Rattus norvegicus: one gene and its partners. Each later gene encodes a partner of the first gene's protein in a complex. Links are inferred from orthologs where the notes say so. Each region holds a gene or a part of one and is shown in the gene's direction. Other genes may lie near its edges.

What was found.
Region 2: Taf13 (region 1) and Taf7 share a complex: the UniProt entries of both Homo sapiens proteins name them as parts of the TFIID basal transcription factor complex. The link is inferred for Rattus norvegicus from reciprocal best matches to the Homo sapiens genes TAF13 and TAF7.
Region 3: Taf13 (region 1) and Taf9 share a complex: the UniProt entries of both Homo sapiens proteins name them as parts of the TFIID basal transcription factor complex. The link is inferred for Rattus norvegicus from reciprocal best matches to the Homo sapiens genes TAF13 and TAF9.
Region 4: Taf13 (region 1) and Taf11l1 share a complex: the UniProt entries of both Homo sapiens proteins name them as parts of the TFIID basal transcription factor complex. The link is inferred for Rattus norvegicus from reciprocal best matches to the Homo sapiens genes TAF13 and TAF11.
Region 5: Taf13 (region 1) and Taf5 share a complex: the UniProt entries of both Homo sapiens proteins name them as parts of the TFIID basal transcription factor complex. The link is inferred for Rattus norvegicus from reciprocal best matches to the Homo sapiens genes TAF13 and TAF5.

Annotation. Positions count from the first base shown.
Region 1 is NC_086020.1:198,899,409-198,903,635, forward strand, and holds part of Taf13 (transcription initiation factor TFIID subunit 13), read left to right. Parts: intron 1-454; coding exon 455-552; intron 553-3,470; coding exon 3,471-3,641; 3' UTR 3,642-4,227. UniProt on the Homo sapiens protein: The TFIID basal transcription factor complex plays a major role in the initiation of RNA polymerase II (Pol II)-dependent transcription.
Region 2 is NC_086036.1:29,710,403-29,715,193, reverse strand, and holds Taf7 (transcription initiation factor TFIID subunit 7), read left to right. Parts: upstream 1-1,869; 5' UTR 1,870-2,104; intron 2,105-2,481; 5' UTR 2,482-2,542; coding exon 2,543-3,568; 3' UTR 3,569-4,018; downstream 4,019-4,791. UniProt on the Homo sapiens protein: The TFIID basal transcription factor complex plays a major role in the initiation of RNA polymerase II (Pol II)-dependent transcription.
Region 3 is NC_086020.1:33,527,019-33,531,770, forward strand, and holds the start of Taf9 (transcription initiation factor TFIID subunit 9), read left to right. Parts: upstream 1-1,369; 5' UTR 1,370-1,420; coding exon of another isoform or gene 1,421-1,448; exon of another isoform or gene 1,449-1,596; intron 1,597-1,624; exon of another isoform or gene 1,625-2,182; intron 2,183-3,524; coding exon of another isoform or gene 3,525-3,617; intron 3,618-4,349; 5' UTR 4,350-4,366; coding exon 4,367-4,752. Other genes in the region: Ak6 (adenylate kinase isoenzyme 6), read left to right, coding at 1,421-1,448, 3,525-3,617. UniProt on the Homo sapiens protein: The TFIID basal transcription factor complex plays a major role in the initiation of RNA polymerase II (Pol II)-dependent transcription.
Region 4 is NC_086028.1:74,277,889-74,282,567, reverse strand, and holds Taf11l1 (transcription initiation factor TFIID subunit 11-like), read left to right. Parts: upstream 1-1,509; 5' UTR 1,510-2,934; coding exon 2,935-3,558; 3' UTR 3,559-4,007; downstream 4,008-4,679. UniProt on the Homo sapiens protein: The TFIID basal transcription factor complex plays a major role in the initiation of RNA polymerase II (Pol II)-dependent transcription.
Region 5 is NC_086019.1:255,909,389-255,913,108, forward strand, and holds part of Taf5 (transcription initiation factor TFIID subunit 5), read left to right. Parts: intron 1-1,200; coding exon 1,201-1,330; intron 1,331-3,022; coding exon 3,023-3,187; intron 3,188-3,720. UniProt on the Homo sapiens protein: The TFIID basal transcription factor complex plays a major role in the initiation of RNA polymerase II (Pol II)-dependent transcription.

The DNA of each region.
Region 1 (4,227 bases):
TTCAAAGTGAGTTCCAGGACAGACAGCCAAGGCTGTTACACAGAGAAACTCAGTCTTGAAAGGTGTGTGTGTGTGTGTGTGTGTGTGTGTGTGTGTGTGTGTGTGTGTGCATATAATAAGGTTAGTCTTTAGTAGTTTGGAAGGAAGAGAAATTTATGGAGGCTAAATAGTAAGAGCAGTCCTAAGACAACTTTGATCTTTTATACCAAAATCCATACTTGCAGACACAACTGTAATATTTCGTTTGTCTTACTGCATAGACCAGCCTGGACCAAACTAGGTCCACCTGTCTCTGATTCCTGACTGCTGGGATTAAAAACCAAGCTGTACCACGCCCAGCCATAACTGTGTTTAAACCATTGTTTATAATTTGGTTTAATCCTACTTGGTATGCAAAGTGTACTGGTGACACTGGTCCATCTCTGGGTCACGCAACACTCTTGCTCTCTCACAGTGCGCTGTATGATGTATGGGTTTGGGGATGACCAGAATCCTTATACGGAGTCAGTGGATATTCTCGAAGACCTTGTCATAGAGTTCATCACTGAAATGGTAAGATACTTTGTAACTATCACTTTTTTGTTGTGTTGATTTTTGTAACTGTTAATTGAAGGTTTAAAATGTTAAGCTTTAGATAATGCTAGAATTTTTGAAATAAACTATCTGTTTGAGTGCCTGCTTTGTGCAAGTTCCTGGCTTCTATTTGCCCTTACTATGGATAGTACGTAAATGTATCTCAGAACTTCTGAGCTTTGTTTGTTTTATATTTCACTTGGTGTGTACAGGTGTTTTGCCTACAAGTATGTCCCTGTATGTTATGTGTGTCTGGTGCTCTTGGAGGCCAGAAGAGGGTGTTGGATTCCCTGAAATTGGAGATACAGACAGTTGTGAGCTGCCATGTGGGTGCTGGGCACTGAACTCCAGTTTTCTGGAAGATACCATTGTTCTTAAGCACTAAGATGTTTCTACAGCCCCTGAGTTTTATTTGTAAAAACATAGTATCTTTGAATAAAATTAAAAGTATTGCCCATAATCTCACCCAGCCTAAGTTCTTTCCCTTCCAGTATTTATTTAAAGGTATGTACAGGGGGTTGGGGATTTAGCTCAGTGGTAGAGTGCTTGCTTAGGAAGCGCAAGGCCCTGGGTTCGGTCCCCAGCTCCGAAAAAAAGAACCAAAAAAAAAAAAAAAAAAAAAAAAAGGTATGTACAGCTCATGGAATACCTTTGGGATTTTTAAAAAATTCTATTTCATGTGCATTGGTTTTATCTACATGTATGTTGTGTGAGGATGTCAGATACTTTGGAACTGGAGTTAAAGACAGTTGTGAGCTACCTTGTGGATGCTGGGAACTGAACCTGGGTCCTCTGGAAGAGCAGCCAGTGCTTTTTTTTTTTTTTTTTGGTTCTTTTTTTCGGAGCTGGGGACCGAACCCAGGGCCTTGCGCTTCCTAGGCAAGCGCTCTACCACTGAGCTAAATCCCCAACCCTGAGCAGCCAGTGCTCTTAACATCTGCACCATCTCTCCAGCCCCTGGTCTAACATCTTGAATGACCATTTTTATGGTTTTCTTCTTTTCCTTTGTTTGGATGGATTAGCAGGGGTGAGGTCACTGAGTTTGGTTGGTTTTAGTTCTTATGAGTGTTCACCCTTTACATTGGACCATCTCCTTACTACAGAATAAGTGAAAGGATTACTCAGCCAGGGCTGAGGCTGTTCGGTGTGTGTACAAGGGCCTGCACATGTGGCGAGTATTTAATCCAGTTTACCTCAGCTCAGGGAAAACATTAGCCATAGTAGTGCCAGATTATGCTAATATGCGTGTGCGAGGCCCTGGGCTCAGTCCCCAGCAGCATATTAAATGACAGAGCCTGCCATAGTGGCTCCTACCTGTAATCCCAGAATTCCAGAGAGAGTCAGGAGGATCTACTACAGGATGTAGCAGGTTCTAGGCCATCCAGAGCTACATAACAAGACTAGGATTTCAAACAAACAAATAAAATGAAATAAAGACATCTCTCAAACAAACAAACAGATAAAAACAAACAAAGCAGCCAGGCAGGAGAAGATGTCATTTCGGTGTGCTCGGCATTCAGGAGGCTGTGGTAGGTGGACCCCAGTTTTAAGACCAGGCTAGGTAGGCTAGGTAGTAAGACCCTTTCTCAACAAACAGAAACAAAGCTGAGCATAGTGGTGCATGCTTTTAGTTCTAGAAGTTGTAGCAGAGGCAGGAAGATTGCCTCATTTGAGACCAGCCTAGTTTCTGGATCCTGTCTCTATAAAAAACAGTCAGGAGGGGTTGGGGATTTAGCTCAGTGGTAGAGCGCTTGCCTAGGAAGCGCAAGGCCCTGGGTTCGGTCCCCAGCTCCGAAAAAAAGAACCAAAAAAAAAAAAAAAAAAAAACCAGTCAGGAATCAGAGATAAGTTGGCTTGAGTTCAAGGCTAGGCCAATCTACATAGTAAGTTCTAGTTATATAGTGAGACTCAAAAACATGTCTCAAAAACAAAACAGCAACAAAAATAATGTTATAATTGTGTCTCCAAGTATAGATTTTTTATATAAAAGATTTAAGCATTAGTCTTAGGATCAGTTTTATTATTTAGCCTCCCAAAACCTCCCTTCTTTCCTTCCAGCCTACTAAAGCCTAATTGTTATTTTCCTAATCTCTATTACCTACTCATTAGCCAACCCAGAACACATTTAACAAGACAAAAACTTCACCTATATCATAAAATAAAACAGAAGTATCTTCAAAAGTTGCTAGGTTTTTTTTTTTTTTTCCTTTTTCTTTTTTTTCGGAGCTGGGAACCGAACCCAGGGCCTTGCGCTTCCTAGGCAAGCGCTCTACCACTGAGCTAAATCCCCAACCCCAATTTGCTAGGTTTTGTTGTTGTTTTAGTCTGCCAGTCTGTCTGACCATCCATCTGCCTATCTGTCCATCCATCTATTTTTAAGGCAGGGTCTCGCTATATGTCCCTGGTTAGCTTGGAACTTGCTTTATAGACCAAGGCTTGTCTTGAACTCACAGAGATCTGTCTGTCTCTGCCTCCCAAGTGCTGGAATTAAAAGTGTGTATCACTCTGTCTAGCTCATTTTGGTAGTTTTATTGTCCGTAATGAAAAAAGAAGTCCTGTAATGCAGAAAGAAAATACTGTCGATTATGCAATAGAAAGGCGGTAAGGAGGGCTAGAGAGATGGCTCAGCGGTTAAGAGCACTGTCTGCTCTTCCAGAGGTCCTGAGTTCAATTCCCAGCAACCACATGGTGGCTCACAACCATCTGTAACGAGATCTGATGCCCTCTTCTGGTGTCTGAAGACAGTTACAGTGTACTCACATGCATGAAATAAATAAATTCCTAAGTAAGGAGATGATCAGACAGCTGGTTCACAAATGTAACACTAGCGTGATTAATAGAAAATTAAAACACAAAAATATTTGGCCCTTAAAAATTGATGTGTTTCCTTGTCATAGACTCATAAGGCAATGTCAATTGGAAGACAAGGTCGAGTGCAAGTTGAAGATATTGTCTTCCTAATTCGAAAGGATCCGAGGAAGTTCGCTAGAGTTAAAGACTTACTAACTATGAATGAAGAGTTGAAACGGGCTAGAAAAGCTTTCGACGAAGCCAACTATGGATCTTGACACCGTTTGTGATGCCCGGGATTTTGATATTTTCTGTGGAAACCATACATTGTATTTGTTGTCTGCAGTAATATCGTGATAGCTAGGCATGCAATGACAGAGGCCTTTGATTTTAGATTTGTAACGTGAGCCTTTTGTTGCCTGTCTTTATCTGACCATATTTGAGTTGCTTACTGGCCTTGAATAACTCCTAACTTAAAGTATTGCAAACCATGCAGTTCCACCCGAAAGGGGGAAGTAGTACTTATTCTTCAGGTAGACATGTGCATTCCAAGCTGTGTACATCGCTGCATAAAATGCAATCTAAATGTCCTCTTGATTTTATGAATGGTAGGGCTTGTGCTTTATGAATCTCAAGTTTTTAGACGACAGTAGTGGGAGAAGCTATTAAAGATAATGAACTGGTTTGTGTGGTTTTTTTTTTTTTTTTAGAAAACTAAATTCTTGTCAGAATGTCTTAATCGATCATTTGTTTTAATATTCTTTTCTAAAGAACACTTTTTTAAAGAGAAACTAGTATTTGCTAAGCATTAGTAATCTCGTCGTCTTCCTTGATGACTGTAATGCTTCCAAAAACAAATGCCTT
Region 2 (4,791 bases), on another chromosome or scaffold:
ACATATGAAAAGAATTCTAAGATACTTGCCAGAGGGGTTGGGGATTTAGCTCAGTGCTTTAGCAAGCGCAAGGCCCTAGGTTCGGTCCCCAGCTCCAAAAATAAAAGATACTTGCCAGTAAGAACCAGGGCATATGCTGGGGGTGGCTGCTTTTATCCCAGGACTTGGAAGATGGACTGGGCCAGAAGGATCACTAAGAGCTCAAAGTTCTACCTAGGAAGGGTCACAGAGACAATGTATAAAAAAAGATTTAAAAAATGCTTCCACATTACATTTCAACTGTAACAGGCCCCCAGTTAGCACAACTGACTCCATGAGGAAAATACCATTCATTACATAGTGTGTTGATTATTCCTGCTTGTCAACTTGACTATATCTGGAAGGAACCACAATCCAGAAATGGAGGGCACACCTGTGATTCAGGTCTTGAGGCTAGAAGACACATGGATATCTTGAGGCATAGTGACTATGAAAAGCTTAGGTCCAGGCAAGGTAGTACACACCTCTAATCCCAGACAAACAGATCTCTGAATTCCAGGCCAGGCTGGGATAAGCCAAGTTCTGGATCCAGGAGTGGTGCTGCACACCTTTAATTTGCGCTATACTTTCTGCAGGAGGCCTATATAAGGACATTGGAAGAAGGAAGACTCACACTTCTTCAATTGCTTGCACTTACTTCTTACTTGCCAGCACATCTGTTGGTACCCACTTCTTCAAGATTCCAGTTTATACAGAAGACTGGGTGAAAGAACTAACCTCGTGGGACTGAGAAACTAGATTCTTGAACTTTCCATTCACAGCTGCCCATTGTTGGGTTAGTTGGGCTACAGACTGTAAATCATTACATTAAAATCCCTTAATGTATACAGACATTCCAGAATTTCTGTGACTCTAGAGAACCCTAACAGTACAGACAGTACCAATGGGCAAAACAAAAACAGACCTAATTATCAAATTTCATAGTTTTGAGAAAGTCTCTAATGTACTAACCTTGTTTTTTGGCTTCTGTAGTTCTGTCTCTGGAAAGTGGTTTTTGTAACAGAAACATGCCAATGTAGAACATTTGTTTGTGCTTAAAAGCTCACCCTGAGAAAGCCTTAGGGCCACACTGGGATCCAGAACACCCAATGTAGTCGCTGGCTAGCTAATACTTTATATTGGCTTAAAACTATGTCCAAGCAGCCTTCTTTGGTGGATACCCAACAACAAAATCAGAACGTTTGTGTTTCAGGCAAGGCAATTCTGTTCTTAATGAACCTGTGTCATCATAAAAACATTTGTATACAGTTATATCTATCAAACATATTACCAAAATAGCGTATCATACATATCACACCTCGTCCTCTGGAGCCAAAAATACTAACGAAGCTAAAGGCTTAGTTCCTCTCAAAGCTAATTAACATGATTATACACAGCGTTATGTGGTAGACAGCAAAACTGTATCATTCCACTGTTTTGGCCACTTTACTTTCACTTTGTGATGCTTCCAAAGCTTTTGGCGGAGGGACCGGGTATGCCCTGGGAAGAAAAGATGCTTTCTGCAGGGACGCCCTTTATCTCTGGCAATCACTCTAGAAACTGTCTTAACCCACGACTTCATAAAAGTGCTGTCTTAGGGGGTGTGCTTATGTTTTACTTTTTGGAATCTTCATCTTTGAATTCCAAGCCAAGGTTTTTCCGGAAACACTAGTTTTAATCCTATACAAGGTAAGTTCTCACGAGAAGTAGTCACGAGACGACGTAATTACGAGAATGCGCCTGCGCGCGCCGCGACGTTACTACTTCCGGAAGAGCGGCAGCCAGCCCCTCCGCGTCTACTTCCGGTCTTTGACGTAGCGCCGCGTCTGCTTCCGCTCACTGCCGTAGCACTTTCTTTCCTTCTTTTCTGCGTGGGAGGAGGCTTGGCAAGGTCCTCTCCGGAGTTCGGATGTTTGAGCGGCAGTGTGGCGAGGTTTCGCGCTGCGGGTCCTGAGCCGTTTCGTTGTTAGCGCTCAGGTCGCCTTGCCGGGCGGCTGAAAGCGCGGACAAACTGGAAGGTAGACGCACCGCTCATCGCTGCTTTACTCAGGCCGAGAAAAGCTGAGTTCATAGTTGCTGGTGAACTGTAAGTACCCGAGCCGAAGAGCTCACGACTTTTATTTAAATCTCTTACTGGAGAGAATCCGTGGATTGGGATTGCCTGCCAGACGGACGGACTGTGCCTAAAATCCCCTCAGGCGCTGCTGTTTTCTTTGGCTGTTCACGTGATGCTGCAGCGGCGTCTAGAGGCCCTAATTTGGTATTGCATCTAGTAGAGGTGTGAGTTTAACAGGGACAATGCCAAAGTGGGATGCATGTTTAGAGATTAGTATTGGGACTTAATTATAAATTAAGACAAAATAGGCAGTAGGTGATGATCCACTTAGTTGCTGTTTTCCTTAGAACTCAGTAACTAAGAGTTTAAGATTATTCTTAACCTTGTCCTTTTTTTAACTGTTGTAGGAGCTGGAACTTGTTAGTGCAGCAGGTGTTTATTGGAGAAGTAATTCACAAGGAAGTGAAGATGAGTAAGAGCAAAGATGATGCACCTCATGAGCTAGAGAGCCAGTTTATCTTACGGTTGCCCCCAGAATATGCCGCTACTGTGAGGAGGGCAGTGCAGTCTGGGCACGTCAACCTGAAAGATAGACTGAGCATTGAGTTACACCCTGATGGGCGTCATGGGATTGTCAGAGTGGATAGAGTGCCCCTGGCTGCAAAATTGGTAGATTTGCCGTGTGTTACGGAGAGCTTGAAAACCATTGATAAAAAAACCTTTTACAAGACAGCTGATATCTCTCAGATGCTTGTAGCCACAGTAGATGGTGATCTATACCCTCCTGTGGAGGAGCCAGCTGCTACTGCTGATCCCAAAGCAAACAAGAAAAAAGATAAGGACAAAGAGAAAAAATTTGTTTGGAACCATGGAATTACTCTACCTCTAAAAAATGTCAGAAAGAGAAGGTTCCGGAAGACAGCAAAGAAGAAGTACATTGAATCTCCAGATGTGGAAAAAGAAGTAAAGCGGCTGCTGAGTACAGATGCAGAAGCTGTCAGTACTCGTTGGGAGATAATTGCTGAAGATGAAACAAAGGAGGCAGAAAATCAAGGCCTTGATATCTCCTCTCCTGGAATGTCTGGCCACAGGCAGGGCCATGACTCACTAGAGCATGATGAGCTTCGAGAGATATTCAATGACCTCAGCAGCAGCAGCGAAGATGAAGAAGATGTAAACATCATTGACACTGAAGAGGATCTGGAGAGACAGCTACAGGACAAGCTAAATGAGTCAGATGAACAACACCAAGAAAATGAAGGAACCAATCAGTTGGTTATGGGGATTCAGAAGCAGATTGATAATATGAAAGGCAAGCTTCAAGAAACCCAAGACAGAGCAAAGCGCCAGGAGGATCTCATCATGAAGGTAGAAAACCTGGCTCTGAAGAACAGGTTTCAAGCTGTTCTGGATGAGCTCAAACAGAAGGAAGACCGGGAAAAGGAGCAGCTTAGCTCTTTGCAAGAAGAGCTGGAATCACTTCTGGAGAAGTGAAAAGGTTGACTTTAGTCCTTAGACTAGTCAGCTTAAGAAGAATTTATTTTCAGAGTGAGGTCTTGAAAAATTCTTCTTTTTTCTTTGAAATATTCTTATTTCCTGTAATGCTAGGAGTTATTGTGTTGATTGTTTTCACTCTTAAGAAAATAGGATTACATAGGCAGATTTGTTGTAGTGTAAGGTTAGTGAAGTGACAACACTGAGCTTTTAATCACTTCACCATAGGACTTTATTACAATTTGTTTCCTAAGTTTCTAGTCCTATTCTTCGGTGCTAAGATCAGTAAGAAGCTAGCTAGCCTACAGGCAATGGAGTGTTTTTTTTTTTTTTTTTTGTTTTTTTTTTAAGAAATATATTTTTTTACCTTCTCAGCAAGTTTCCATGTTACAGAAATGCAAGTTTTTTCATAAAAGTTGTTTTTTGCACAATAAAAGTTACTAATTTTCACTTTGCTTATCTTGTTCTTCAATGAATACTGAAAGTTGAGGTGAGCTCATGGAGTTTAATGGCTGAGTGGTATAGATCAAGATACATGCTGTTGTTTTGCCTTTTTAGAAAAGGAATACACCAGATAAGGAAATGGAGAAATTCATCTTTGCATTATAGATTATGGTTCAGGCCTACCTACACCATCTGGAGGTTTGTGAACACTCGGTCCAGAGCCTTCTTAAACTATCCTACTTTTCATTGAAGGATATCTGTCTATATCTTTTTATTAAACACTAAAGTTATCTATAAAATACTGGAAGCAGTTAAACAGTTATCAGATGAACTATTCCACTTGCTTAGATTAAGATTATATTCTTAACTGTTGCCATTTTAATTGCTATGCTTTTTTAATAGGCATGTTTGTTCATGTTATTTCATTAGTATTTGCCACTATGAAAGCCTGTTACCAGGTCTGGTATTTTAAAATTTCATACATAGAATTTTTCTCTGAGGCATTTAATGTTTTATGGATGGGAGGGGTGTTTTTGGGGAAAAACCAAGATTGGTAAGGTGCATAGTTAAAAATTAATTTCTGTCTGATTTGTTTGTAAAACTTCACTTTAAAAGTACTTGCTTCATAAATCAAAGTTCAGATTTTGTTAGAAAACAGTAGTGAAGTGTTCAAAATGAGTTATTAAGACTGAATTCAGGATCAAGCCTCTTAATGCTTAGACGCTTCAGAATGTACTTTTCCTTGCGTTTTCACAAGCACGTGACTGCAATGCAGCTTA
Region 3 (4,752 bases), about 170 Mb from region 1:
AGAGTATATTGAAGTATAATTCACCTTGGTGGAAAAAAGAAAAACATCACAAATTAGGAAAAACAATAAATACAGGATTAATACTGATCAATATCAAAATACAAAATCAACCATGTAATGTGGACTCAAAAAAGATGTTAAAACCTTTAAGTAAATTTTAAATGATTACAATTGTATCAGATAGTCTATTTGTGGTGGGATGGTATAAGTAAAAAGGTTTTCATATAAACTCCAAAGAATGAAACAGAAAAGCCACATATTTGTGCACTTACCTTCTGTTATAAAGAAAAACTAATCCCATATAAGCATTTTTATGCCTAAATTCTTATTTCATATCACGCTGCAAAGTACAGTGTATTTACAACTTAAGAGAAAGGAAAAAACACAATGAAGTAAGACTCATCAGTCACTTCGGATAAACCGGAAGTGCACTGGTCTATTTTAGAGTTGTAGGTACACACAAGCCCACCCGCTAAAATCTTTCCCACCTAATATAACAAATGCTCTTCCCCTTATAATTTAGGATTAGGGCCTGACGTTTTAAAAGGATACAAAAACGTCTGCTTAAGAAATTATACTTGTCGAAATAAAAGATACTCAACGGTCGGGGCTCTTTGAAAACAAGACTGACAATCATCACCTTGGATAAAAAACCAACTGTCTCTGATGATAAATACCAGGCTCGTGAATTACGCTGGAGATAAACGAGAACTTCAAGACTACCCCTAGCCGATCCACCTCCACCTCATACACTGCGCAGGGGACAGGGACACATCAGTCCTAGGTGTTTGTGCAATCAACAGAGAACGGAGCTGACACATCGCACCATGGCTTCAGGCCAGGGCTCCTCACCTACATCCTACACTAGTCCATATTGGAGGGCGGGTCCGGAGGACAGCCCAGGTAGGCGTAAAGACGAAGCGGGTCTCACGCCTCTAGGACATTAATAAGAAAAGCGGAAGCGTCGTCGTCCTTACTTTCTGGGAGCTGCGTCCCCTCGCGGGCGGAAAGATGTGAAGGAGGCCAGGCTGTAGTGTGGAAGGGTAACCGCCCAGCCCTCCCAGCTCAGCCGCAGGCTTCTAGGGCGGCCCGCCTCCTGGGGACCTTCCTTACTGCGGGCGCTTACGCGACGCACCAGAGGGGAGGGGCCGGCAGGCGAGCGAGTGACGTAGGCGTCCAGCGTACTGCCTGACCCGAAACGCAGGCCAGGCTTGGCGCCGTGCTTTCCCCCCATTCGGTGGAAGTGTACCTCCCGAGGCCGGGGAGTCATTGGTGCGAGCCAAGGGGGTCCTAAGTGAGTGTGAGCACCGCGAAGGGCCTCGAGGGAACCTAGCCGCGGGCGCACGCGCCCGCCCGCCCTTTCCGGCTCCTCCCTGGAGAGCGCGTGAGCCGAAGCGCTGGCTGCGTGTGAAGGAGTACTATGAAGCTTCCGAACATCCTGCTCACCGGTTAGGGCGCGCGGCGGGACTGGGCCAGGCCGGGCCGGGGTTTGTCGAGTGCTGTGAGGTCCCGGGGGGCGCTGGGTGTTCGGCCTCGGGGCTCCTCAGGCCGCGCGGCGTGCGGTGTCGTGGTCGCGTCAGGACCCGGCGCTCGCGACCGTTGGGGGAGGGGGTAGGGGGAGCGGGGGAGGCGGAGGTTCGGTTAGCCAGACGCGCCGCGGCGACGAGAAGGAGAGCGGCTGCCGGCTCCTGCTCCGTTGCCCCGCCGCCCCGGGAGACACTTAGCCTTTGTCAATCTGGTATCTTTGCCTGGAGGACCGGCTGCTGATTCTTTGTCGCGGTCGGGCTAGGGGTTTTTTTAAATCGGGGTGCTGTGAGGCAGTTTTTAGCCGTTAGGTGATGTGGTAATGGTGGGTGCCCCAGCCCTTGGGCCTTCCTGATCGCCACCCATTTTCTTTTCTTTTTTAATGCCCCGTTTGCTTCCCAAGAGGTTTCGGTAGATGATTTTGGGATGCTTGTGGAGAGAAGTGACTAGTTAACTGTTTCTTAGTTCCGTTCGCGCCACAGGCTTTGTTGTTGTTTTAGTGTTGGGGTTTCTGAGCGTTTGTGGACGTTTGTGGTGATCTGGAGCTGATCGTGGGGGCCGGGGGAAGGTTTCGGAGCTTTAATTAGAAATATTAAGTTGTAGCATCTAGTAGCATCAAAGGCCAGTCGTACAAAAATGGGATGGATGTAGATGTCAGGTAATGAATCGTAAGGTTGTTGTCTGCCTCAGCTCTACGCACTAGCTTTTAAGGTTTCTTAGGAGGAACGTTTTACAATACCTGATTTGCATGGTCAGACAGTGTCTTGGGGGGGTTAAGATTCTGAAACCAGAAGGCTACAGAGGGACCCTGGTGATGGAAATCAGTTGATAGAGAACTTATAACTAGTAGGCAGGAAACCCTGGGTTGGATCCCCAGAACTTACATAGACTAGCTGGGGTGGCATATGTCAAAGGCCAGCCCTATGTATGGGGAAAAAAAAAGAGAGAGAGCCATATCATAAGATTGAATAGGATGAGAATGTAGAGTCGTGATTTTTACTTATAATGTTCAAATTGACTTAAGTAATTTTAAGCTTGAACATTATGCATTTGATTATCTTAAAAGGGTATTAGCTATAAAGGCAGAAAAGCAAAGAACAATGTATAGTGCCATTTATACAACAGGGTACCTATGCTGTGGATATATACAATGTGTATGTGCACACATATTTAAATGCATCCCAAGTATCCTGTAGACATACACAAACTCATAGAAAGTTGAGTAAGAAACTGGTTTACAGTAGTTCCCTCTGGGGAAGTTACTAGTGTAAATAGTAGTAATGATATTTCTCATACCTCTTATATTTTTTCCATTGAATGTTTTTAAGCTTTTGTTAATGCAGCAAATGATAATGTATCCCAAGTGCCTGATTTTTTTTTCTTTTTTTTTTTTCTGGAGCTGGGGACGGAACCCAGGGCCTTGCGCTCTACCACTGAGCTAAATCCCCAACCCCCGAAGTGCCTGATTTTATGCTGGGAATTTTATATGTTGGCAGGCAGGATTGGCATCAAAATTTTTGGAGTCCTATCCCTGGAGATTAGGGTCCTGACACTAATACCCAGTAATTTCTGGAGAATTTTTTGGTTGGTTTGGTTTTGAGACAGGGTCCTGCTATGTGCCCCTGGCTGTCCTGAAACCAGCCTAGTCTGGTCTTGAAGTCACAGAGATTGACCCACCTGCCTCCACCCTTAGTGCTGGGATTAAAGGCGTGCACCACCATACCAGGCTTTCTGGGGAATTTTTATTAGTTCATGGTGTATATTCATATATGATTGCTAATTAAGAAAAATTTTATACCGTCTAAGAACTGTAAGGGCAGGGGTTGGGGATTTAGCTCAGTGGTAGAGCGCTTACCTAGGAAGCGCAAGGCCCTGGGTTCGGTCCCCAGCTCCGGAAAAAAAAAAAAAAAAAAAAAAGAACCAAGAACTGTAAGGGCAGAAGACGGCTGACATGTAGTAAGTAGGATTTGAACAGCATTTTTCTGTGGCTTCTCTTACAGGTACACCAGGGGTTGGAAAAACCACACTAGGCAAAGAACTTGCATCAAGATCAGGCCTGAAGTACGTTAATGTGGGAGATCTAGCTCGGGAAGGTAAGCGTCTCTTTGATGTTGTATTTCTGTTTTTAAGTCAGGTATAGTAGAGTGTTAGGACTGTGAAGTGTTGCTAGAGGGTCCTGGCAATGAGTGATTATGTTCTGCTAGGGGCCTGAGAAAGAAAATCACATGTATAATAGATAGTAGTATGACATAGTTATTTTGGACATTTTCCCTTCCCTACCCCAAAATAACTAGCATTATTGAGAATAGTAAAAATTGTGACGGTTTTGTTGGGAGACTGGATAGATAAGCTCTGAATATGAGGAAGAGGGAAAATGCTGTGGGCTCAGCAGACACAAAGGTTTGGGTGATTTTAAATGTATGAGACATTATATTGATCTCTCCAGGATAGACTACCGTGAACTCAAATAGGATATGACTATCATATTACTTTTTAAAAGTCACTTGGACAGTTGCATGCCCAGACTCACTGCATGTAGTCTAAAGTGTTATTTTTTACTTATTTACCCCTTTTTTCCCCTAATCTTTTATTATTTAACTTATTTGTGTCATCCTTTTTATATCCACATTTCAGAGAAGGAATTTCATATTTAAGCAAAGGGAAGTTTAAATATGCTTAATTAAAGAAAAAGATGGATGTTTTATATTTTAAATATATTTTTAAAAGTTTTAACACATTTGAGAATTTTAAATTCCTAACAGTTGCTACTAAAGTGACTATTTCGGTTTGATCTAATTTCCATATTTTTTTTAAATGACCTAAAGTCTGATCACCGGATATCATGGAGTCTGGCAAGATGGCGTCTCCCAAGAGCATGCCGAAAGACGCACAGATGATGGCACAAATCCTGAAGGATATGGGGATTACAGAGTATGAGCCAAGAGTTATAAATCAGATGCTGGAGTTTGCCTTCCGATATGTGACCACAATTCTAGATGATGCTAAAATTTATTCAAGCCATGCTAAGAAACCTACTGTTGATGCAGATGATGTCCGATTGGCAATCCAGTGCCGTGCTGACCAGTCTTTCACTTCTCCTCCCCCGAGAGATTTTTTATTAGATATTGCAAGGCAAAGAAATCAAACCCCTTTGCCATTGATCAAGCCATATTCAGGTCCTAGATTGCCACCTGATAGATACTGCTTAACTGCTCCAAACTATAGGCT
Region 4 (4,679 bases), on another chromosome or scaffold:
AAATCAACTGACAGACTCTAGAAATGCAGATTTTTGAAGGGCCGATCACCCTGTCTTGGCAGAGCTTATCAGTCAACTATTCTGCATAATTTGTCCTTTTCTGGACAATATTAGTCTGCAGATGAAACAGGCAGCTTTGTGTAGTGGCTGCCTAGCCACAAAGTATTGCCTTACCTGAACAAATTCTTCATTAAATCTGCCAAAGGGGAACTGTTAGGAGCAGCTACGTCTCAACAAAAGATAAATAACTTTAAGTCTCAAATTTTGTGGATTTCTGACGTTTTTGAAGACCATCCATCTATATAAGACAATCTGGACTGTTGTTTTCATATCTTAATATTTTTTTTTTGGTTCTTTTTTTTCGGAGCTGGGGACCGAACCCAGGGCCTTGCGCTTCCTAGGTAAGCGCTCTACCACTGAGCTAAATCCCCAGCCCCTTCATATCTTAATATTATCTTGAAAGTGCTCTCACAAAGTCAGAGCCATGAATGTGCTATTTGGCCCTTAACTCACATATGTAATCAACTCAGAAGTTTGTATTGACATAATTAGAAGGACTGGCTCTAAACCTTGTACTTTTAAACTTTTTTGACAAATAAATTCTATACCAAAACAAAGATATGATTTTAGCTTAGTTACCAAATGAGATAATGACTCTACAACTCAATCTAGCTAATTCCTCCCTGTTAAATTACAACCATTTCTAAGTTCCTCATAAAAACAACTTTAGAATAACTGCTTTCAGCCCCCCAAAAGTCCAGGGAATTGGGGCGACGACTCCTCCATAACTTCCTCAAGCTGTACATGGGCGTTGAGCTATCCTTGGGGGTAGGAGGCAGGAAGAATGAAGCAAATGCTGAGCAGATGTGTCCTGACTGGACCCAGCCGAAAGTCCTTGAGACCAGGAATCCAAGGAGGCACACAATACAACAATCAAGACAAAATATAACCATAATATATATAACCATAAAACTCAAGGTCACGGGCTGGAGAGATGGCTCAGTGGTTAAGAGCCCCGACTGCTCTTCCAGAGGTCCTGAGTTCAATTCCCAGCAACCAAATGTAGACACCCCATCTCTGACTTCCTCACCAGCGGTGCCTAGGTATCCAGAGAGGAAACTGGGAACCACACCATTCAACCCAGACCCCTCTGTTCCCATTCTAGTTCTGTGGGTAGCAGTGCCTGACATCATCCAGAAGGGAAACATTCACTGTGGACCCCCTGTTCTGGCTTTTGTTATGCCGCTCAGGGCTGGCATGATGGTGGCTGCTAGACACCTCCAGCAGAGGCAGAATGCAGTATGACATCAGAGCAATGTGAGTTCTTTATTTTTTATTTAAAAAGACAGCCAAGAGCTGGAGAGATGGCTCAGTGGTTAAGAGCACTGACTGTTCTTCCTAGCAACCACATGGTGGCTCACAGCCATCTGTAATAGGATTTGATGCCCTCTTCTGGTGTGTCTGAAGATAGCTACACTGTATTCATATACATAAAATAAACACATTAATTTTAAAAAAAGTCAGCCAAATCTTTATTGGGAAATGGGTCCCTAGGAAGTGAGCCTGGGGCCCTCGTTGCACATCTTGTTCCTTAGCACTGTTCCAAGAATTCCTTTTTTTTTTTCTTTCTTTCTTTTTTTCAGAGCTGGGGACCGAATCCAGGGCCTTGCGCTTGCTAGGCAAGCGCTCTACCACTGAGCTAAATCCCCAACCCCTGTTCCAAGAATTCTTTTTTTTTTTGGGGGGGGGGTTCTTTTTTTTTCGGAGCTGGGGACCGAACCCAGGGCCTTGCACTTCCTAGGCAAGCGCTCTACCACTGAGCTAAATCCCCAACCCCCCAAGAATTCTTCATCGCGTCTCGTGTTGTGGAGAACTAGAAAAGGTGTAAATATTGCAGGCCTTCAAAGGCATCGTCTGCTCTGAAAGCCAGGTCCACTGTGACTGAGGGCCTGTGGCTTTGCTACCTGTTTAGTGAACCATGTGCTCGACTCCTTGGCCTCAATGAAGTTGGTGGTCTTCTTGTGCCGGATCATGAGAAACACTTCCATCCCTGTGACTGACTGCTTCTGACTTGATGCACCAGACCTGAGCAGTGTCAACAACAGGCATTAAATATTTTAATTGTGTGCAGTGCAGACCTGGCGCAGACGCGGTCCACGCCCAGCGAAACCGCCCATTCGACAGCTGGGGAAGAACGAAGTGGGCACACTTGTAGGAGCTTCCCGAAGTGCTCGCCTTCCCAAAGATTTGGGAACCTCATGGGACTGGAAATGATCCTCATTGGTCCAGGCACTGTAGAAACAAAAGAAATGTGGGAACGGGATACTAGCTCTGTTCTGACGGGAGGCAGGTAGCCAATAGTTGAAGCATTGAATGAAATCGTTGGATATATTCTATTGGCACTAGAGATGCTTGCGGTACAGAAGAGAAGCCCAAGCAGTTCCCTGGTGGACCCAAGCCGCGGATCTCAGTTCTTTGGAAAATACGAGGTTGAGTCTCTGCCGGAAATTGCTCAGTCCAAGGCAGCAACAAGCAGCCGGACGGAGTTTTCGCCCCGTTCCGGACTTTGCGCTCAAGTTAACGGATTAATTGGCATTACATTTCCAGGAAGGAAGGAAAAAAAGAAGTCTCTCGGTAAACGAATTGTACGCCCTTTCGAACACGCTTCTACCCTAAAGCGGAGGATCTATACTTTTACATTTCTTTCTGGTTAAAACAAAGTCAGTATACAAGAAGACCCTGAGCGATCGAGACTCTGAAAATGACCCCTCCCAGGAGCCGTGGGCGTGACGTCATCGCGGCGCGACCACAAGCAATAAGGACCAGCTCCAAGCCATAAGCCTCAGCTATAATATAAGTCCCGCGGCAAAACTCGCTGACCCTCACTCCTTCGCCCGGCCGCGCTGCCTTCGCCTCTAACCCCCTCCTGTCGCGATGGAAAACCTTGGAGAGTCGCCCACGGACAAAGGCGGGGAGTCAGAGGAGTCGAGGGCTACTCCTGGGAACCCGTTAGCGGCAGACACTGAGGGAATCCCTGAGGAAACCGATAGGGATGGAGACGTGGACTTGAAAGAAGCCGCGGCAGAGGAAAGGGAGACCAAGAGTCAGGATGTCTCAGGTTTGACAGCAGTTGAGAGGGAAGACTCATTTCTTACTCCTGCAGCCAAAAAGCTGAAACTAGAAACCAAAGACAAGAAGGAGAAGAAGCAGAAGGTGGACGAAGATGAGATTCAGAAGATGCAAATCCTGGTCTCTTCTTTTTCTGAAGAGCAGCTGAACCGTTATGAAATGTATCGCCGGTCAGCTTTCCCGAAGGCAGCCATTAAAAGGCTGATCCAGTCCATCACTGGCACCTCTGTGTCTCAGAATGTTGTGATCGCCATGTCTGGCATTTCTAAAGTTTTTGTCGGGGAGGTGGTAGAAGAAGCCCTGGATGTGTGTGAGAAATGGGGAGAAATGCCACCCCTGCAGCCCAAGCACATGAGGGAGGCCGTGCGGAGGTTGAAGTCCAAGGGGCAAATCCCCAGCTCAAAGCACAAGAAAATCACCTTCTTCTAGATCTAACAGAGACTGTTCAAGACTTTCCGTATAGTTGGGCTTCTGTACTGAGGCTTTGTTGGTGGTGAGCCCAGGACACTTGATGCTGACTTTAATGTTTCTGTTACACCTACAAGGCACGTAGTGTGCCTCAGACTTGCCTTCACTCAGTCATAGACTGTCCTCAGGCATGTTGAAGAATTTCACAGACTCTTGGCTATTTTTAAGAAAAAATACACAGGGACTGTTAGTATCTCCTGGAGAGGGAGATGATTTCAGAGAAAAACAAGACAACTACAGTTTCACATTGAAGCCTAAAGTGGCTAAGATTCAGGTTGTTTCGAAACAAACTTTCTCAATAATCTGCTGTGAAGACAGTCACACCATAATTCGATTCTCACCGTTAACATTTCAGGTTGTCCTGTGTATTTTGTGAGGGATTATTAAACTTTTCCAACCTGTGTGGGAAACTTTGTTTTATTTTGTTGCAGACAAAACTTATTGTCCTTCCAATAAAACTTGGATTTTTTTTCCTTGTTTAAAAATACAAAACAAAACTTTTAATTGCCCTGGGGCTGAGTTTCTCTGACCCTGACCCAGAATGGTTGAATTCAATTTGACATGCCCTGTAGGAGGCCCCTTAGGGGGTTAATCTGAATTCATTAGCCTACTACTGGGCTTTGCCACACCTTATGCCTACTGCAGAAGGCTGAGCTTTCTTTTGGATTACTTCTAGAAAAACAACAACAACGAAAAACATTGTGCCTACGAATGCCTCGCCTATAATCCCTTTTCAAATGACATCTGACATTTTCCTTTTTCTTAAGACTCTGAGAAATTACTTCTATCAGATTAGCATAAGTGTGAGATCCAATATCTCTAATTCATTCCTCTACTGGTGCTGATGGTACCTTTAACGGTCTGATCAACCTTTTGCATTCTGAATTAGCATTTTCAAAAGCCTAGGATTCAATTACTATTTTTCAGACTTCTGAATCTGATATGATTCTGTTTACAGTTGAAGTCAGTCTTTGCAAAGGAAATCAGGGAAGGCTACTTTGGGGCCTTGTGTGGTTTTAGTAAATGACTCAAACCTTTCTTGGGTCTTCACCCTCATCTCAAGCATTTAAAGCTGCTAAATG
Region 5 (3,720 bases), on another chromosome or scaffold:
CTCCCCATGCACTAGGCATGTAGACATCTACATAGACACAGACACTAAACAATTTTTAAAGAGAGTGAGTTCAAGGACTTGCCTAGACCTCAGAGCAAATTCAAGGCCAGCCTGTAAACCTTAAATGAACTGTCTCAAACCAAAACAAACACCAAACCAAGGTAACATTTCCAATAAATGAAAGGGCCTTGGGGGTGGCAATGATTATTCCATTGGCCCCCAGTTCTCTCATATACAAAATGAAGGGAATAGGTCAGACAACTCTTTTTTTTTTTTTTTTTTTTTTTGGTTCTTTTTTTCGGAGCTGGGGACTGAACCCGGGGCCTTGCGCTTCCTAGGCAAGCGCTCTACCACTGAGCTAAATCCCCAACCCCAGACAACTCTTTAAAGTTAAAACTGTGATATCTGATGATTATTTGCCTATAACTTTTAAGAAAACCTTAGTGAGGCTGGCAGGGCCTCACTAAACCTTAGTAACTCGGTAGATAAAGGCAAGTGCTTGCCACCAGACATGCAGACTTGAGTTCAGTGTTCACAGCCCACATGGTTGAGGAGAACTGACCCTACATATTGTTCTCTGACATATCCCTGTGTGATGGCATGCATGCTTAAATTCACTTCATACAAGACTGAGGCAGGAGGATCACTAAGTTCAAAGGAGCCTAAGCTACACAGTGAAGACTCTGTCTCAAAAATTAAAACACAGTGCTGAATAGAGGACTCTGGTTGAGAGCACTGCCCATTGCTGCAGAGGACCTGGATGAGATTCCCACCACCAGCCATCACTCTAGTTCCAGGGATCCAACACATGCATGTGGTACATTTTTATCATCCAGGGAAAGCATTGGTACATACAGAAAACAAAAGGCAAAACACAGAACCGAAACCACTCCTAAGGTCAGGATTTTAGATGCTTTTGATAGCTATTTTTCCTAAACAGTTAGGTTTATATTGTTTTAGGATTTGTATAGCTTCCTTTTTATGAAATGTGATGGACAGACTGGTTGTCATACTGAGTAACTGTATGGTCTAGCAGATTAACTGTTTGGAAGATTTCATTTTTTTCTATATGAGGGGACAGATCACTTAATTTAGCATAGTGTTGTTGGTAAAGAGGAAGAAATGTTGAAATGTTAGTTCTGAATTATGAGAGATTGCCTTAAATAATATACCTAAAATACTATTTCTGGACCTTTTTAGATCTTAGTCTTATAGACAAAGAATCAGATGATGTCTTAGAGAGAATCATGGATGAGAAAACTGCAAGTGAGTTGAAGATTTTGTATGGTCACAGTGGGCCTGTCTATGGAGCCAGCTTCAGTCCGGATAGGTAAAATTCAAACACAATTAAATGCTGATGAACAGTGCTGAGATTTCAAACTTAACTGCTGGAGATGAAATGCAAATGCCAAACATTATGGTTGCCTGTAGTTCAGTATCTTTCAGAATTAGAATCTTACCATTTGCTAATATATGTTGGGGACTGGAATATAACATAGCACCTAAGTGTATACTGAATATACAAAAATCAGGATATACATTCATGGCTTCACCAGTTTCAGAATTTAGCTTTATTTTTGAATAACCCTCTGGAAGAGGTTGAATTGTTCGAGTTTGTGGATTATTCTTATGGAACTTCCTAACACTTAAGAGAAATTGCTCATTAAAAGCTATCAATGGAAGCATTTAGGTATTTTAACAGGAAAACAGAAGAAAGCTGGGTGTCATAGTAAGTGCCTGCCATCCCAGCCTCTCTGGAGGCTAAGGCAGGAAGGAGAATTGTGGTTCAAGGTTCACTGGGTATCACAGCCAGACCATGTTTTGAAATAGCATGTGTTTAGGTATTTCTTGATTTTCATTTCTAACTTTCTGCAAAAATGGCTGGGAAAGGGTGGTTTCACCCATATTATCTTGTGTATTCTACTTAGTAGTTTTTGACCACCAGAGTTTTCATTGTACTTGTGAGATCTTGAGAAATAAACAAAACAAAACCAGTACCTAATAGGATTTAGCCAAGTGGTACATTTCACTTGAAGAGAATGATTTCAGTGAAAACTGTTGGCTTTTTTATTTATCCCTGAAAAAGGTGGAACGTTAGTATTCTGCAGGGGAATGGCGTCCTGGTTGAACACAGGGCCTCCAGCACATACTAGGTGTGCACTCTGCTATTGAGCTGTACCCGACTCCTTCTCTCTATTAGATACAGTCCATGCTGACAGCAAATCACATATTCAGAACTGATGCACCTCATTTCTAGACTGTCTGGTAACCGCACTGCTTATTAGCCTCAGTACTAGTTTCTTAGTGTTTTGAACACAGGGTCATCACCTGAGTTCTGAGGTTACACATGCGCTATCACACTATTTTTTTTCTTTTTTCTTTTCTAAAGCACTGTGACCCCTCCCCATAGTCTTGACAGGTTTTTTTGTTTTGGCTTGTTTTTTTTTTTTTTTTTCTTTCATTATTAGCTTTATATAGTTAAGTGTTGAGGATATACTTCGACATGATTTCACTTAACATTAGTTTAATACTTTTAGCTTTTGTTATCTACTGTGAATTCTAAGAATAGAGAGGTGGGGCTGAGATGGCTCAGTGAGGAAAGTGCTTGCCATGTAAGTGTGAAAATCAGATTTTAGATCTCCAGCACCCATATAAATGCTGGCCTGGCGGCCCTCCTGTGATCCCAGTGTTCTAGACCTGGAGCTGGGGTTGCTGACAAGCTCTGGGTACATCTGGGAGATTGATCCAGGGAAGACTCCTAAATATACCCATGCATCCTGCATTCCACACACAGGTGAGGGAGCTGAGGATGTGTAGCTCAGTGGTAGAATGCCTGCCTGCCTGCCGTGTGCAAGGCCTGAGGGTGAGTCCTCAGCACTCTGCGCCCACTCCCAGGAGCATGTGCACGCACACACTAATGTAACATAGGTGCATGTCAGTTGTTAAAATGTGAGGTTGGGAGAAACTTGGACAGGTAACTAGACTGTACTGAGAATCAGTCAGCACCGCCTCTTCTCCTCAGGAACTACCTACTCTCCTCTTCAGAGGATGGAACCGTTAGACTCTGGAGCCTGCAGACTTTCACTTGCTTAGTTGGATATAAAGGGCACAACTACCCAGTGTGGGACACACAGTTTTCTCCATATGGATATTATTTCGTGTCAGGAGGCCATGACCGCGTAGCTCGGTAAGAACACTGATCTAATGGGGTTTACTCACTGGATATAACTGTATCTTGTCAAGAACACAAAGTCCAGCAAGCCGTATTTTCATGCTATTCAGGATTAACTTTTGGAGAAGATAATTCACAGCTGTAACTTGAAAATGTGAGAGGGGAATATTTCTCCCTCCAGGGTCTACACCGAGGGCCCTGCTTCCTGTTACTCTAAAGTCCCCTTTGAAGTAATTTTTGTTAGAAACTATGTGGTTGCCCAAATTATAGGAAAATGGTTTTCTGTTCATTAGGAGTGGGGAGGTGGGTATAAAAGAATAAGCGTTTATATGCTGGCTGGAGAAATGGCTCAGCAGTTGAGTTCTGACTGTTCTTCTAGAGGACCCAGGTTCAATTCCTGGCACATACATGGCCGCTCACAACTGACTGGAACTCTAGTTCCTTGGGATCTGGCGCCCTTACACAGACATGCATGTAGGCAAAACACCAATGCATATAAAATAAAAATAAATTTAAGTCAGACAGTTATCAGTGCACACCTTTAATCC